Schizosaccharomyces pombe: one gene and its partner. The protein of the gene in region 1 purifies or fractionates together with the protein of each later gene. This does not show direct contact. Each region holds a gene or a part of one and is shown in the gene's direction. Other genes may lie near its edges.

What was found. Proteins that work in one complex are often made in the same cells at the same time.
Region 2: the proteins of snx41 (region 1) and atg24 purify together in Schizosaccharomyces pombe (affinity purification with western blotting; one study listed by BioGRID). This does not show direct contact.

Annotation. Positions count from the first base shown.
Region 1 is NC_003423.3:4,175,828-4,185,289, reverse strand, and holds snx41 (sorting nexin Snx41), read left to right. Parts: upstream 1-4,741; 5' UTR 4,742-4,801; coding exon 4,802-5,089; exon of another isoform or gene 5,090-5,207; coding exon 5,208-6,680; 3' UTR 6,681-6,964; downstream 6,965-9,462. Other genes in the region: pho8 (alkaline phosphatase), read left to right, coding at 766-970, 1,105-2,498; cbh2 (CENP-B protein 2), read left to right, coding at 2,880-4,424; SPOM_SPBC14F5.10C (ubiquitin-protein ligase E3), read left to right, coding at 7,578-9,038.
Region 2 is NC_003424.3:2,752,755-2,758,659, forward strand, and holds atg24 (autophagy associated protein Atg24), read left to right. Parts: upstream 1-1,768; 5' UTR 1,769-2,013; coding exon 2,014-2,145; exon of another isoform or gene 2,146-2,213; coding exon 2,214-2,349; exon of another isoform or gene 2,350-2,437; coding exon 2,438-3,375; 3' UTR 3,376-3,626; downstream 3,627-5,905. Other genes in the region: SPOM_SPAC6F6.11C (pyridoxine-pyridoxal-pyridoxamine kinase), read right to left, coding at 20-52; SPOM_SPAC6F6.13C (uncharacterized protein), read right to left, coding at 3,744-5,905. UniProt on the Schizosaccharomyces pombe protein: Sorting nexin, involved in the separation or division of vacuoles throughout the entire life cycle of the cells.

The DNA of each region.
Region 1 (9,462 bases):
AGCTTAAGGATTGGTTTCGATACCTGGATGGTTAGGAATTCCCAAATGTTAATTCCTGATTAGCTACTCTTTATTCCAAAAGTTCCATTTCACGTTCTTTGTACAATAAAAATATAAATAATGTTTAAGTTCATATGAACAATGAAGTAAATAAAACAATTGATCCTTTAATATCGCACTGATTTAAAATGCTGTCTTCTTATTATTATTACCCTCAAAATTCACTGCCATCATAAGTCATCAATGTGTCTTCTACTTTAAACACTGTACTTTATTTTCAAGTAACAGTTCAGTCCTTTACTTGTTTGTTTATTTTCTGTTCACAACTCATTTGCTTATATATATTTTTTTTCGTTAATGACAAGATCTCAATAATAGTCGAAAGGTAATTGCATCGAATTTTGGATATACGGGATTTTCATGTCAGCAGCTGATTCTAATATTTTCAACAGCTACTTGCATTTGACAGTAGATATTACATGTATATATAGACAGTTTTACCATCACGCTATTTCTTGTGGACTTGGTGAATTGCCATTCTCGATTAACTTGTGCATATACTATCCGATATCAGATTTAAGATAGCGAGGATCGACATGGAGAGTTAATACTTTAAACCATGACGTCATGCAATGTATGGTTGAGCTGTTTCAACACCAAAAATTTGTACTATCCATCAACAAGTCATACGCGTTGAAACGATCTTTACCCTTTGACATCCCTTCTTTTAGAGATATTCAATTTTTACCGTTTAAATAGTTTTCAATGGCATCTGAGCGCGATCCTCTTCTGCCAGTGCATGGCGAGGGTCCGGAGAGCCCTTCTCGTAGAAATTGGAAAACTTGGATAAAACATGGAATTCTGTTAATCCTTGTTTTATCAACCGTTATATTTTTTTATTTTTTCTCGTCTCATAAGTCCAAAGGGACCAATGAGAAACCAAAATTTGTTATTATGATGGTTTCTGACGGTAAGTGATTGGAGTAAGCTCTCTCATAAATCCGTTGCTCTTTTGAAGGAAAATGATTTTTTTTATATTTAGAGCACTGGGACGGAATCTTCCTTTTTTTTACAATATTTCTCGGTGACTGACTTTTTTTAAAGGAATGGGACCTGGCTCTTTGTCTATGACTAGATCGTTTGTAGAGACTCTAAACGATAAAGAGGGTTATAGGCTTCCCTTGGATGAGCATTTAATTGGCAGTTCACGGACACGTTCCAGTTCGAGTTTGATTACGGATAGTGCAGCCGGAGCAACCGCATTTTCTTGTGCTAATAAAACCTACAACGGAGCTGTTGGTGTTTTGGATAATGAAAAACCTTGTGGAACTATCTTAGAGGCTGCTAAAGAAGCCGGTTACTTAACCGGAATTGTTGTCACAAGCAGAGTTACCGACGCTACACCTGCCTCTTTCTCTGCTCATGCCGCGAATCGATTCATGCAAGATTTAATTGCTGAGTACCAAGTCGGGATGGGACCTTTGGGAAGGAGTGTTGACTTATTGTTCGGTGGTGGACTTTGTTCATTCTTACCTAAATCTACTTATCGATCATGTAGATCCGATAACTTGGATCTTTTGAAATATGCTAGGAAAAAAGAAGGTTTCCAAATTTTGCTTAATAGAACTGACTTTGATGAGCTATCAAACGCTCAATTGCCTTTGCTTGGTTTGTTTTCTGATTATCATCTCAGTTATGATATTGATTATCAGCCTGAAGTGCAACCTAAGCTTTCTGAAATGGTAGAGACGGCTTTGGATGTTTTGCTCAACGCCACTAATGAAGATACATCTAAAGGATTTTTTTTGCTCATAGAAGGGAGTAGAATTGACATGGCCTCTCACAACAATGACCCTATCGCTCATGTTTACGAAGTTATGGAATACAACAGGGCCTTTGAAATAGCAAGTGCATTTGTAGAAAAGAATGGAGGATCTTTAATCTCTACATCGGATCATGAAACTGGTGGTTTGACTGTTGGTCGCCAGGTCTCCAAAAAATATCCAGAGTATTTATGGAAGCCGCAAGTCCTATCTCTTGCTCTCCATTCTATTGAATATCTCGCTTCAGCTATCGTGAACCATAACCAAAATACGTTGCTTCCTTATATTGAACAGTTTGTTTTACCCGCAATTGGCATTCCTGACCCTAATCCAAAGCAGATTCATGACATATACGTGGCCCGGCATAATATATTTAATCTTATAAACGTGCTTAGTGATATTGTTAGTGTAGAAGCACAAATTGGCTGGACCACTCACGGCCATACTGCTGTCGATGTAAACGTTTATGGAGTAGGAGAGGTCACTGAACATCTTCGAGGAAATATGGAGAACATTGAAATTGGACAGTTTATGGAGATATACTTAAATGTTTCACTAAGCGATGTAACTGAAAAGCTCAAAGATGCTCCCATACATGGTGCCCCAGATCGACCTAGTTTAGTGGAAACTTCATTTTCCGATCGTCTTGTAGGTTTCGGTGCTGATTTGTTTTAAAGCCTTTTAATCAAGATTGCCATAAATATATAATTTAGAATACTCTCATATATGCTCAGCTTATTTAAATCGCTTAATTATGGCATTCAAATTCTTTTTAAGTTAAACCTATTTTACTTCTTATCTTTTACTTTATTTAATTTCCACTGTGGTTGAGATATCCAACAATTGCGATTTAAGAGCAAACGAATATTACAATTATACATACAACTTGTCGCAATAAAGATAGTTAACATATCCATAACGAAAATATTATAATAATATTATAATAACAAACACGTTAATATATCAAATATCACAAACATATCGGGATATCATCCATATCATCCACGACAGCCGCGATTACCTCCCTTACAACGATTTTTTCGTAAACTTGAGAGAATGCCTCCATTGAGGCGTCAAGCGTTGACTTTAGCTGAAAAAAAAGCAATTAGAAAACATTATTTTGAGTCAGCAACTAAACCTTCGCAACAAGAGCTTATTAGTTGGTTCGAGGAGCACTTTCATAAAAAGCTAGCACAATCTACCGTTTCGTCAATTCTATCATCAAAGAACGAATTTTTAGATAATCTAGACGCAGAAAACTCTCAAATAAGAAGAAACCGCCAAGGAAAATATCCTATCTTAGAAAACGCCCTTATTGACTGGCAAACGAGGTTGCAAAAACAAGACGGAGCAATTACTGGAAACGCCATCAAAAAAAGCGCCGCAGAATTGTGGAGACGTATACCGGAGTACTCTGAGCTTCCGATTCCAGAATTTAGTAACGGTTGGTTAGAGAAGTTCAAAAAGCGTTGTTTAAAACACGGCCTTAAGTTACAGGGTGAATCTACTTCAGTAAATCAAGGAACGTATGAGGAAAACATGGTTCAAATACAGGAATTAATAAGTCTTTTTGATCCAAAAGACATCTTTAATATGGATGAGACGGGGCTATGCTGGAAACTTATTCCCAATCAATCTCCTGCGAGTGAACGAGTAAAAGGAATTACGAGAGATAAGGCTCGTGTCACCGTCACTATTTGTTGTAATGCTACAGGTTCTGAAAAGGCCCCTCTTTGGGTGATTGGATATGCTAAAAGTCCAAGGGCCTTTCGGCAAGCAAATGCTCATCCTGATTCCATGGATTTTCATTGGCGATATAATGGAACCGCTAGGATGACCACTTCCATTATGGAAGAATGGCTTCGTTGGTTTGACGATTTGATGAAGGGTAGGAAAGTTCTACTTATACTGGATAAGTTTGTCGCTCATGAATGCGCTTTGGAAAATATTCGCAATTCCGAGCGAAAGTTGGTAAACACGACTGTTGTTTTCCTTCCTGTAAATTCTACAGAAATTTACCATCCTTGTGGCCAAGAGATAGTCTACGCTTTTAAATCATACTACAGAAAATACTGGCTTAATTACATGCTTGAGGAGATTCGATTGGGAAAGAACCCCAGTAAGACAATGAATGTACTAAAAGCAGTTAGATGGATGATTCGTTCTTGGAACGTTGACTTTGAACCATCTATAATATACAATTGTTTCCTTCGTTCTGGGCTTTTTCAAAATCAGCAACCACTGACCGGTCCTTCTCCAGAAACCATTAGAATCGCGGTGAATTTGCAAGAATTGATAGGAAAATACCTTGGTGATAAGGATATTTTCCAAATCGAAAATTTTATTAACCCTATTGAAGAAAATTCTGCTGACACTAATGACGATATCGTTAACCAAGTTGCTGCTCAATTTCTTGATGAACGAGAGTTTGAAACCGATGAAGAAGAGGAAGAGTCACAGTATTTGTTATCAACAAAGGATGCGATAAATGCCATCAATACTTTACTAAACTTTCAAGAGCAATCGGAAGATGGAAATGTTTTGTTTACTCGAACATTACTTCAGTTTCAAAAGGTTTTAGAAAGCAGATCGATTGTGTAAAGGTTGTGGGAATTGGAAAATTTGTTTCTAACGAAAATGTACACATTTTCTATACTTTTAAATAATTTTTATAGAATATAAGAAAGATAAATAATTACAGTGAATTCTTAAAGGTTAACTACTAGACGTACTATTTCAATTAATGTGAGATTCGCGCTAAAAGCGTTTATAAACTCAATAAGATATATTGATAAAATAATAAAGTGAAGAATCAATTGTTTAAATTACGAAATTGAATTGGGACAAATTTTTTGTTTTGCGAAAAATAAGCATAGCGCAATGCATTAATCAACACAGTATGACTGTCTGTACTTGTCAACTCCAAACGCCATTATTCAGCATTGCAATTGAAATTGGACGTTGTGAGAAACAATTGAATGGATTTTTTTGAAGATAATAATCCATTCTCTGGCTCTGACAACAGAAGCGCCTCTTCTGCTGTCAATGTAGAGCCAAAAGTTGAGCCATCACAGCACCAGGGCTCTTCATCTGTCAAAGAGAATGCGATTAGCCAACCGAATGAGAGTTTTCAAAGTAGAAACATGTTTTTTCAAAAGGACGTAGATAGTGTTGTTGATTCAGCCCTCGATCCAAACGGAATTGTAATTACTGGAGCTATGAAGGCTGAGAGTGGATCACACATAGTATATATAATCAAACTTCAAGTAAGTTAAGGAAATTGGTTGATAATGTATTAAGTCGAACTATTCATTGTAGAATCCTTGCTTCATTCTTCTCTTTTGTTTGGAAGTATTGAAATGTTTGATTACTAACGGTTTTTAGGACTCAGAAATACACCATCGATATTCAGAATTTGCTTCTTTGCGCGTACAACTTAGCCGCCTGTATCCTACTTGCTTGGTTCCTCCATTACCTGATAAACATAAAATCATGGATTACTTGATAAACGTCACCAAAAACCAACGAATGTCTCGTATGCTCGAAGAAAGAAAGAGATTATTACAATTATTTTTGAGAAGGGTAGCACAACACCCTATTCTGGGCCTTTCAGAAGTTTTTCGAAAATTTCTTAGTCGACATGTATCTTGGAAGGAAGTATTGCATAGTCCTCCTATTAGTTGTCTCCCAAAGGATTTATTGAAAGCCCCACCAGCTGATCCTTCTTCTAAAGAGAATGCTGAGTTATACAAGGAGCTGCCTATTCCCTCTAAAACCCTTGTACCTCGTGACAATTATGACGATGTTGGGAAAAATTTTCTTATGCTTGAAGATACGCTACAGCAGTATTCAATAGTAGCACAAGAGGAATCCAATTTATTTAATCAAATTGTTTTATCAAACTCTAAGTATTGCCTCGCACACTCTACTTTGGGGGCAATGTTTAACGCTCTTTCGTTATCCGAGTCGGGAAAGCTTTTGACAGCACTGGAAAAGGTTGGACAAGCAAATGATCACACATGTCTTGCTAGTATTGACTTTATGCACAACTTTGTAATCGCGGTAATAGAACCGCTTCAGGAGCTTTCAAAAGACGCCAAAAATATGCGTCACATTTTTATCTTTAGAAAGATGAAGTTTATTCAACAGGTAATGGTCGAAGAGCTTCTCACAAGAAAAAAGAGCTTTCTTCATCTTTTGGAGCGCAGGGAGAGACATGCTGCTCGTCTACAACAGGCTATTGGTGAGGTAGATGGGGACGTAATACTCAATAGGGAATCGGAAGCTACTTTGGGTGTAAATAACGCTCAAACTTCTCGTTCAACTATTCCCGAAGAAGATCCCCTATTTAATGATGAAGAATCAAAAGAGCCGTCGGTTCCCTTGATGGGAACCGATCAGCCCTTGGAAAACTATCATGATGGAAATGGAGAGCAAACGGAAGAGTGTTTGCGGGATTTACGGCACAATCAAAGTCAAGATTTTGAAACAGTATCACAAGATACCTCTTTGACGTCAGTTACTGTTTTACCGCGCACGATTCGTGATGTATTTGATAGAATACGTTTTGTATTGAATGGTCTAACTGATAATAATGTGGAAGTATCGCGACACAACAACATCGGTAGGACCGCAGAAAGCGTTACCCATCTTACGGACATGCTCTTGATTACCACTAAGGATGTCGCATTTGTAACTGACAGAGTAAACTTTGAGTTCCAGCGCTACCAAGACACGCATCGTCAGGATTTAAACAGAATTTTAAACCGTTTGACCGATAGTCATATAGATTGGGCCAACCGGAACTTGCGAATCTGGAATTCCGTACAAGAATCATTGAAAACATATGTATCATAATTTATTGGTCCTAGATTTGGTTGGGTTTCTTTTTCAATACAATGTTTGAATATTTGCTTTCATGCTTTTCTTCCTATTCTGCATATTCTACCCCTAGGTGTTTTACTTCATTCAGGCTTGACCTACTAAGGTTAGAGAATTCCGGTACCCTTTTATAAACGTGCCATTGAGATTGCCTTGTCTTTCAGGTTGATTAGCACCTTGCTTGGTTTTTCTTCATGAATCTGTTTTTTTTATGATTATTTGTAATGAAATATATGAACGCCTATCTTCTTAATTGACCATCATCTTAAATTTGTACTGAAAGTAAGAGTCACATGTCGATCAGTATGTAATATATCGGTATACAATTGTTTGCCGTTTCACCATAATAAACTGGTAATTACTTCCTGTACTTTTATCAATTAAAGTTATTAATTTATTTTAATTATTAAAGCTTTTTAATTGCAATATTCGTCTTTTTTACTTTTCCATCATCATGTTAGCAATTCACACGGATGTAACGTTATATTATGTATATATATATATAATGTCACCATATTTATGCTGTCATCCGTTTACAACACAGCATCACTTTGTCTTTCTGTTGTGAATTGCTTTATTAACATAAATTAAAGGAATAAATCCTTTTAAGAATTGTTAATAAGTCTTTATTTTATAGATAGCTACAGCAAGTGTTTGTGCGTGATGAAGATATGTCATCAGTAATTTCATGAATTAATGAGGTTTTCCTTTTTCGACTGAAATAATTGAAGAAGGTTCATATTCTTTCTTAAAAAAAAAAAAACAATATTTTTAAGTTTCTAGTATTCTCTGGAGTCATCCATGGAATTAACGAGTGTAAAATTACTTGACATTAGCAATCGACATCTGAATTAGTTTTACGAGCGATTAAAAATGAGAAAAGAAAGGCCAGGAGTATTATTTAATAAAATAAGGTCTTACTTTATTTGTCCGGGCTGTAATTGTTTGCCTGACTGGCCTGTCACACTTCCTTGTGGAGGAACAGTCTGTCGGAAATGCTTTCGAAACGCATATTCTTCGGAAAGCTCTGGAAAAGTTAGTCCCTCAAGATGTTGCTTTTACAACCATAAGAAACCGCATTATTCTGTAGAGACCGAAGTGAAAGATGTGATCATTTCCAAAGTGGTTGAATTGATTAAAACTACAGAGTTTCAAATTTCTCAGCAGAGTTTGGTACCGCTGGAATTAAAGGAGGAAATTTGTCATGACGATTGTCTTTCTTCGTCACCACCTTGTACTTCTGCATTGACTGAAATTACTCTGCTGCCTCCCACTTTTCATAACTTAATACCTTCCTCATCTTCTTATGAGACTGCAGTAGCTGAATTTTTACATATGGAGGACCTATTACAAGAGAATGTTTCTCGAGAATTGGAATGTCAAATTTGTTTTGGCATGCTTTATGACCCAGTTGTTTCTCCATGTGGACATACATTTTGTGGCCCTTGCCTTATGCAAGCACTAACCCAGTCTCCTCAATGCCCGACTTGTCGTTTTGGGCTCCCATCTCCTGTTGTGTTGGAACATGCGAAAAGCCACTCTATTACCACATTTTTGCGAGATTTTTACCCAGATAATTGGTTAGAACGTCAAAAATCATGGGAAGAAGAAAAGGAACAGGAAAGTTGGCTTCCGTTATTTATTAGCATGCTTGCATATCCCAGAATGCCGACATTCCTTCATATTTTTGAACTGCGATACCACATCATGATCAAAAAATGTCTGGAGACTTCTAAGCGATTTTGTATTGCAATGCCTTTAAGAGCACGAAGTGATGGTCATAATGAGCATCGAGAGCTTCGAAATGCTCGTGGTCAACGTCTTTTTTGTTCTGAGTATGGTACAATTTTAGAAATTATCCAAGTCGAGCCTTTGATCGATGGGAGAAGTCTTGTAGAAGCCCGTGGTTCATATTGTGTTCGTATAATCGATTTTCGAGCTGATGGTTTGTTTCCGAGAGTGAAAATTGAAAAGCACTATGATACTCCTTTGAGAGCCACTCCACTCCAATTTCCTGAGCCTGAATATCTATTAATGTATGGTAATCTAAGTAATGAAGAATTAGTTGAAAGAATAGATGCTTTTTACATGAATGCCCGCCGAACATATGTTCATTGGGTTGTACCTTTAATCGATATAAAAATGGAGGCTAGACAGTCAATTGCTGACTTGTCTTACAAAATCACCAATCTTCTTCCTATCTCAGAGCTTGAGAAAACTCGCATTTTGCAAGTTGACAACCCGACCGATCGACTGGTTTTGGTTCTTATTTGGTTAACTCAACTTCAAGAAAGTTGGTGGTATCGTGTTGGAAGTGCTTGCACCATTGCTTGAGTTTTAATTGTAGTTGAAGTCGCGCGCCCTTTGTATGGGCCATAAAATATAGCCTTTGATTTACTGAAAGGTTATCTCGAAAACGATCAAAATACATCTAATTACCCTATACAAATGAGCACTTAATTCTTGGCATCTGAGAATATCTGGGGTTGATTGTCATGAATATTTCTTTGACCAATTTAAAAACACCCATGCCAATACAGCAAGAATTCTCTTTTTGTTTCACACTTTATTTAATAGTTGATGTTTGCAACTTTTAATATTTATTTTTCTTGATGGTTTTTTGTTTATTACTTTTTCACTGTGAAGATATTTTAATAGTATAATCCAAAATAATTTTGGTTTTCGTTATCTGCTGATGAAGTAGATTTTGGCATTATAGAGAAATTAATTTTCTGCTCTTACTAGTTCACATTTCATA
Region 2 (5,905 bases), on another chromosome or scaffold:
AAAATTATATTTTTTCAACCTGAATCGCTAAAATACGCTTTGTTGTATTCATCCTATATGGTATTGGGTTATCCTCAAGGCGTAGAACTGGATAAGCATGCTTTTGTATAATAGATGATAGCGATATATGATATTGAGCGTTGTCGAAAAACGAATAGTTACCTGAGTTTTAAACAAATATAAACAGACTTATTCTTTTAAGAAGAGATAAATTGACTACTGTTATTTTCTGAATGCTGCCTAAAACATATATTGGAATAACTTACTAAATACTCTTCAAATTAAGGAAAAGCATAAGCTACAATTTCTACCCCTACAAGTAACGATTTTCCTTTTTTTTTACTTCCTCAAAACGGTCTTCTCGAACAGTATGTTCTCAAAAGTTTTCCGACTTTTTATCTCATAAAAAAGAAATTCAATGTTTCTCATGCATGACCTTTAAATTTCTCTTTGAAAAATCATGTGAAGCTTACTTAAAGAGATGTTTCAAATTTCTCTTTATGAAACGAGTATTTATCGGATTTATTGGATATCCACTTATGAAACACTACAGCAGAGCAAAACTTTCAAATAATTGTTTTATTATTTTAAAAGCTATTCCAGAAAAATTTGTTTAATTTAAGGCGTAAATTTCGCGCTAATTTTCCTAGAAATGACTGAAAGGTCGATTTTGTTTACGTCTTTTTGCATCATCCTTTCAAAGCTAAGAAGTTATCGCAAACTATTTCTCCATTATATTGGATTTATTTTATTTTGGAACATACAAACATGAAATTGAATGTGAAGAAATATGTATGTAGCTTCGTCTTTTAAGGGAATTTAATAAAAAGGATAATCAACTTAATTTTTTGCGACAAAACTAATTATGAAGCACATTCTTTTGAATCAATTTATCCAAAAAAGTAATAAATTCAACAGTGACAAGATGTAAGCATTATACGGAATACAACGACTCGAAATACATGGAATTGTATAACTTAATCACTCATTTAAACTTTTACAGAAATCTTCGGCTGAAATATACGGGGTAAAATAGGGCTTTTAATTGTAAAGCTTAGAGCCTGAATAAGTATGCTTTCCTTTATTTTAACATTCCTCAATTTGTTTTCAAGTACTTCACATACCTAGGAAGAATGCTAAATAAGGTACAGTGGGAAAACAACGTTGGTTGATTGTTAGTTTGACTTGCTAAGCTCGTAACTTTGAGGATATGGGCTACAATTTACGTAGAAAGGTAATTTATTAAGCCTAAGGATGGTTGCTTGCTCATTAAAATTGTCCCAATCCTACATATACGCTTTAAACTATATGAACCTCATCTTTTGTCGAAAAAGAAAGTACAAATCCTTCCTCATAAGAAATGTTCGGCAATCTCTTCTTTTTCAACTTTCAGCCTAAAATCGATATGACTACAGAATTTGAAATAGGGAATTGCATTTCTTACTAGTACTATTTAAATGTGTAAAGCTTTCTGGATTACCATCAGACCCTCATTTAAAAATGATATTTATATTATATGCTGATTCTTTAGGAAACAGCAAATGGACGACTTTCTGAATGTGATTTTTTTAACCATCATGTAAATCTAAAGTAGACTGTTGCTAATAACAGTTTCGTACGAAGAACAGAACTTTTTTAAAAATCTAATCTAAATTTGTCATAAATCTTTCGGAAAACCTTTTGAAGCATAAAAATCCCAGTTGAGTTAATGTAGTAACAATCATGTGTATGTACTCATACCTAACCATCACATTCCAGTAATCCACCTAACATCTTAACAACTCTCCAGCACACATACACACACATCATTATTTCAAGTCATTTCACACTTAAATTCACTTACAAACATCTAGAATAATTTTTGATTGAATCGTATTTTATTCATCTGAAAACCGACTGAGATTTAGTATTGTTTCCTTCGTATTGCATTTTTTACATTCGTCTTCTTTGGAAGTGGCGTACTAAGCCTTTTATTTGATTCCATCATACTTGTGAAGTATCCTTAAGCATCCCATGTCTGATTCTGTGAATTTGGACGAACCTTCAACTAATAGTACTCACTTTCTACAATGTTTAGTTACAGAACCTAGAAAGGAGCTACAGGGATCTCGAGACACTCATGTATCTTATCTAATCATCACTAAGGTAAGTCTTATTTTTGAAAAGTAACTGATGAATTATTTTTTGGAAATGTGCTTACTCTATGTTACTAGACCAATCTTTCGATTTTCACACGTGCGGAATGCAAGGTTCGTCGTCGTTTTTCTGATTTTGTGAAGCTTCAAGAAATATTATCACGAATGAATGAGGATTGTGTAGTCCCTCCTCTTCCCGCTAAACATAAACTTGGTATGCGTGCAATTAAATAGAAACTCGTTAGTGCAGTGATTCCGATGTCTTTGACTTTTCAATGATTCGTCACTAACACTTTTTGTAGAATACATCAAAGGAGGTCGGTTTTCAGATAATTTCATAAATCGAAGAGCCAAGCTGTTGAATCGTTATATTACACGTTGTGCTCTTCATCCTGTGCTGCACCAATCGCCTCATTTCATTGCATTTTTAGAAAATCCAAATTGGAATAATTATGTTCGATTCTTTATTCAGCCGAAATTGAATAACACATCGAAGTTGGACGAAATCTCGGATTCCTTGCTAAATGCGTTTTCCAAGCTGAAGGAAGAACCCACTGAGTTTGATATCCAACGCGACCATGTGCAACAGTTTATGTTTGGAATATCTAATTTGGAAGGATCCATTCAAAAGCTTTTACGTTTAGAGAAGGCTCTAGAATCTGATTATGAGGATGTTTCGATTCAGTTTGATCGATTGGCATCCTTGGATCAAGCTTTAGATGTGCCTATTGAATCCATTCAGAATGCATTGCAACAAACTGGCACAGAGTATGCTAATCTTACAGAAAAATTAACTTTATTGTTGGATACAATTAAAGACGTTGAATCTTACGCTCATTCCTTGAAAGAACTCTTGAAGCGCCGCGATCAAAAACAGCAGGATGTCGAGGCACTTCAAGAGTATTCTGCAAAGCTTTCTTTAGAGCGCGACAAAATATCTTCTGGCGGCTCTAATGGTTTCAGTTTATCCAAAACTCTGGACGACTTGCGTGGTATCGATCACAACGATACTAGATTAAAGCGCTTAGAACATGTACAATCGGAATTGCAGGCAGTTGAGCAAGCTATTCAAGAAGCATCTGCCGTTCATGACGCTTTCAACCAAAGGGTTCGAGAAGAATCTAAGCTTTTTGATTCCGTTCGTCAAAGCGAGATGCTTAGTGCTATTTCCGATTACGCTAATGTTCATGTAGAGTTTTTTACAAATATTCGCGACCTTTGGATACGTGTTAAGCAATAGGTTACTTTACTCAAGCCCCACAGCATATGTTGTTTTGATCATGTCTCGATTAATGAATCATTGACCTGCTTTTCTTTTTTAATTTCTAAATATTTATTAATGATAATGATTGTGCATGACTTCGCTGATTACTTTTTTTATCATCAACAATTTCATAATCGGGAAACTTTTTTTGTCTGTATTTGTTTGTAAGTTTATTATGATTATTATTAGAAAAGAAATAAAATAAAAAATGAATTGAATAAATTAGAGAAAAAACAAACAGTGGGGTATAAGAATCGTAAAAATGAAAAAACCGGTATTGCAAATAGTAAAAAATTAGAAACATATTAATGGTAATTCTTGCACGATAATAGCACTCAAACATCTTAATACCATCTACTATTGAATGAGGATCCGTACTTTTTCTTAACCTTCTTAAGTTCCTCCCTTATTTTCTTGCTATCAAAAAAAGCATTTGATTTTTTAGGAGACAAACTGCGGCCTTTTTGCATTAATGACTTTTCAATCAACTCCTTTTGCTTATTTTGACATTCTTCTGCTTCTATTTCATACAACAATTGAGATTGTCGTTCTCTCAAGGGTTCGGGAATAGGTTCTGAAACCAAATCCACTTCTTCATCGAGAACTTCAAATCCAACAGCAGCTAATAAAATTGGCATTGATTCTCTATAAGCCAAATGTCCCGAGACAAGATTAGTAACATCGATGTTTTCTATCCCCGGAATACAATCTATTTGACGCAAACCCGCAACTCGCCCAATGCCACCAGAAGTGGCTCGAAAAAGATAGCCAAGGATCCAATCATTCTTTTTGTAACCATTGACAAACCTTCCAGAAACGACAGATGCAGCTTTAAGCCAAGAAGTACGTTTAAAAATAACAGGGGTGCCGAACAAATATACATTTTCAATGATGCTAAACTCTTTTTTTTTCTCTAATTCTCGCAAACAATAGTAAATAACACGAGCCCCCAAAGAATAACCAACTAAGGTGACTGGGCGGACGCCAAGGGACCGATAACATAGCATATCGGCTAAAAGCTGACCGGTAGCCTTAGCACGGTCTAAAGAATTATTCCACGGATTGTCAATTAGATATCCTAGCTTCGTTAATATCAAGGGCCACTGTAAGGCACCCATTAGAGAAACTAAGACGGTGGATCCCAATACCTGTTGAAGAGACTGTGTAACCACTTCTGTTGCCAAAATGTTCATAGTCTGACCAGCAGAAGCAAGCATTTCGGGCTCCCAAAAAACAGAATAAATATCACCCACGATAGGATCAAGTGTAGCAAAAGAAAGACGGACATCATCTTCTTTACTTAACATCCAACCGGAAACGGTGACGATGACATTGGCTCGTCTCTGTGCATGTAGCGGTCTAAATTCAAAAGTTTTAACATCGGCTTTTCGATGAGCCATGCCAGTTGTACCAATATGAGCTCCTGAAATTGCACCGCCAGCAGTAATTAAAGCAGCACTACCACCCCCGGCTAAAAAACCAGACGTAGCAACTCCAGATAAGCCAACAGTGGTGAAAGCAGCTCCAATGCCTGCACTAATAATAGGAGCCAGTAATCCAGAAGAGAGACCGATCACTAGGCCGCCTCCGATACCTGCTAGGCCCATTAGTATATACTTTTTACGCCTTGATACTTTACGCCGCAATTTCATGACCGCTTCAGTGTTTGCACTTGAGCCGGCTTCTAATTCGCCGGTATCGTCAATCTGAATTGTTTCAACAATATGTTTTTCAAACTTTGCAACATCAAACTCATTAATGTCAAGAACCTCGCCAACAGCCATAAGTAGAGAACGTGACCGACAATCGTAAAGCGATTTAGAAATGAGGACCAGAAAAAGATCACACAACACAGTCCAACGAACATCAATTTGTACCGGTTTCTCTTTCCCTAGGCTACTTAGACTATCGCTGGACTCAACTTCGTCAACAAGCACTGCATCAAGGCTACTGACTGTTTGAGCTCTATGGGCAGAAACTAAAATCTTGGACAAGTCATCTATTTGGACTGAATGTTTGTGAAGATTTTCTATCATCTTCTGTTCCTCTACTGTGACGCCGAGATGTTCATATATGCATGAAGTGGTTTTGTCAGCCCACATAATGGTGTCTTCTAATGCGGCCTTACATTCACCTCGATACCATGGCAAAGTTGTAAAACATGCAATTTTATCAACCATTTTTAAAATTAAAAGCCGACATACGCCAGCGTATGCCATTTTCTCGGTTTCAGAGAGTATGTTGCCAGTGATTTCCAATTGACTATCCATGCTAATTTCTTCGTTGCCATGATCAGCAATGTCTAATAATTTAATGGCTTCACTGTCTAACTGATGCTTTTGATCGTCGTCTTCATCACGAAAAACTCGGGTGTAGCGAGGTTCAAGCTCACTCTCTTCAACTTTTTCAGTTTCTTTCTTTTCTTCTATTATTTCATTATCATCATCGATATCATTGATTAAATGGGTTGGTTCCAACGATATAACTTCCATTGGTTGCCAATTGC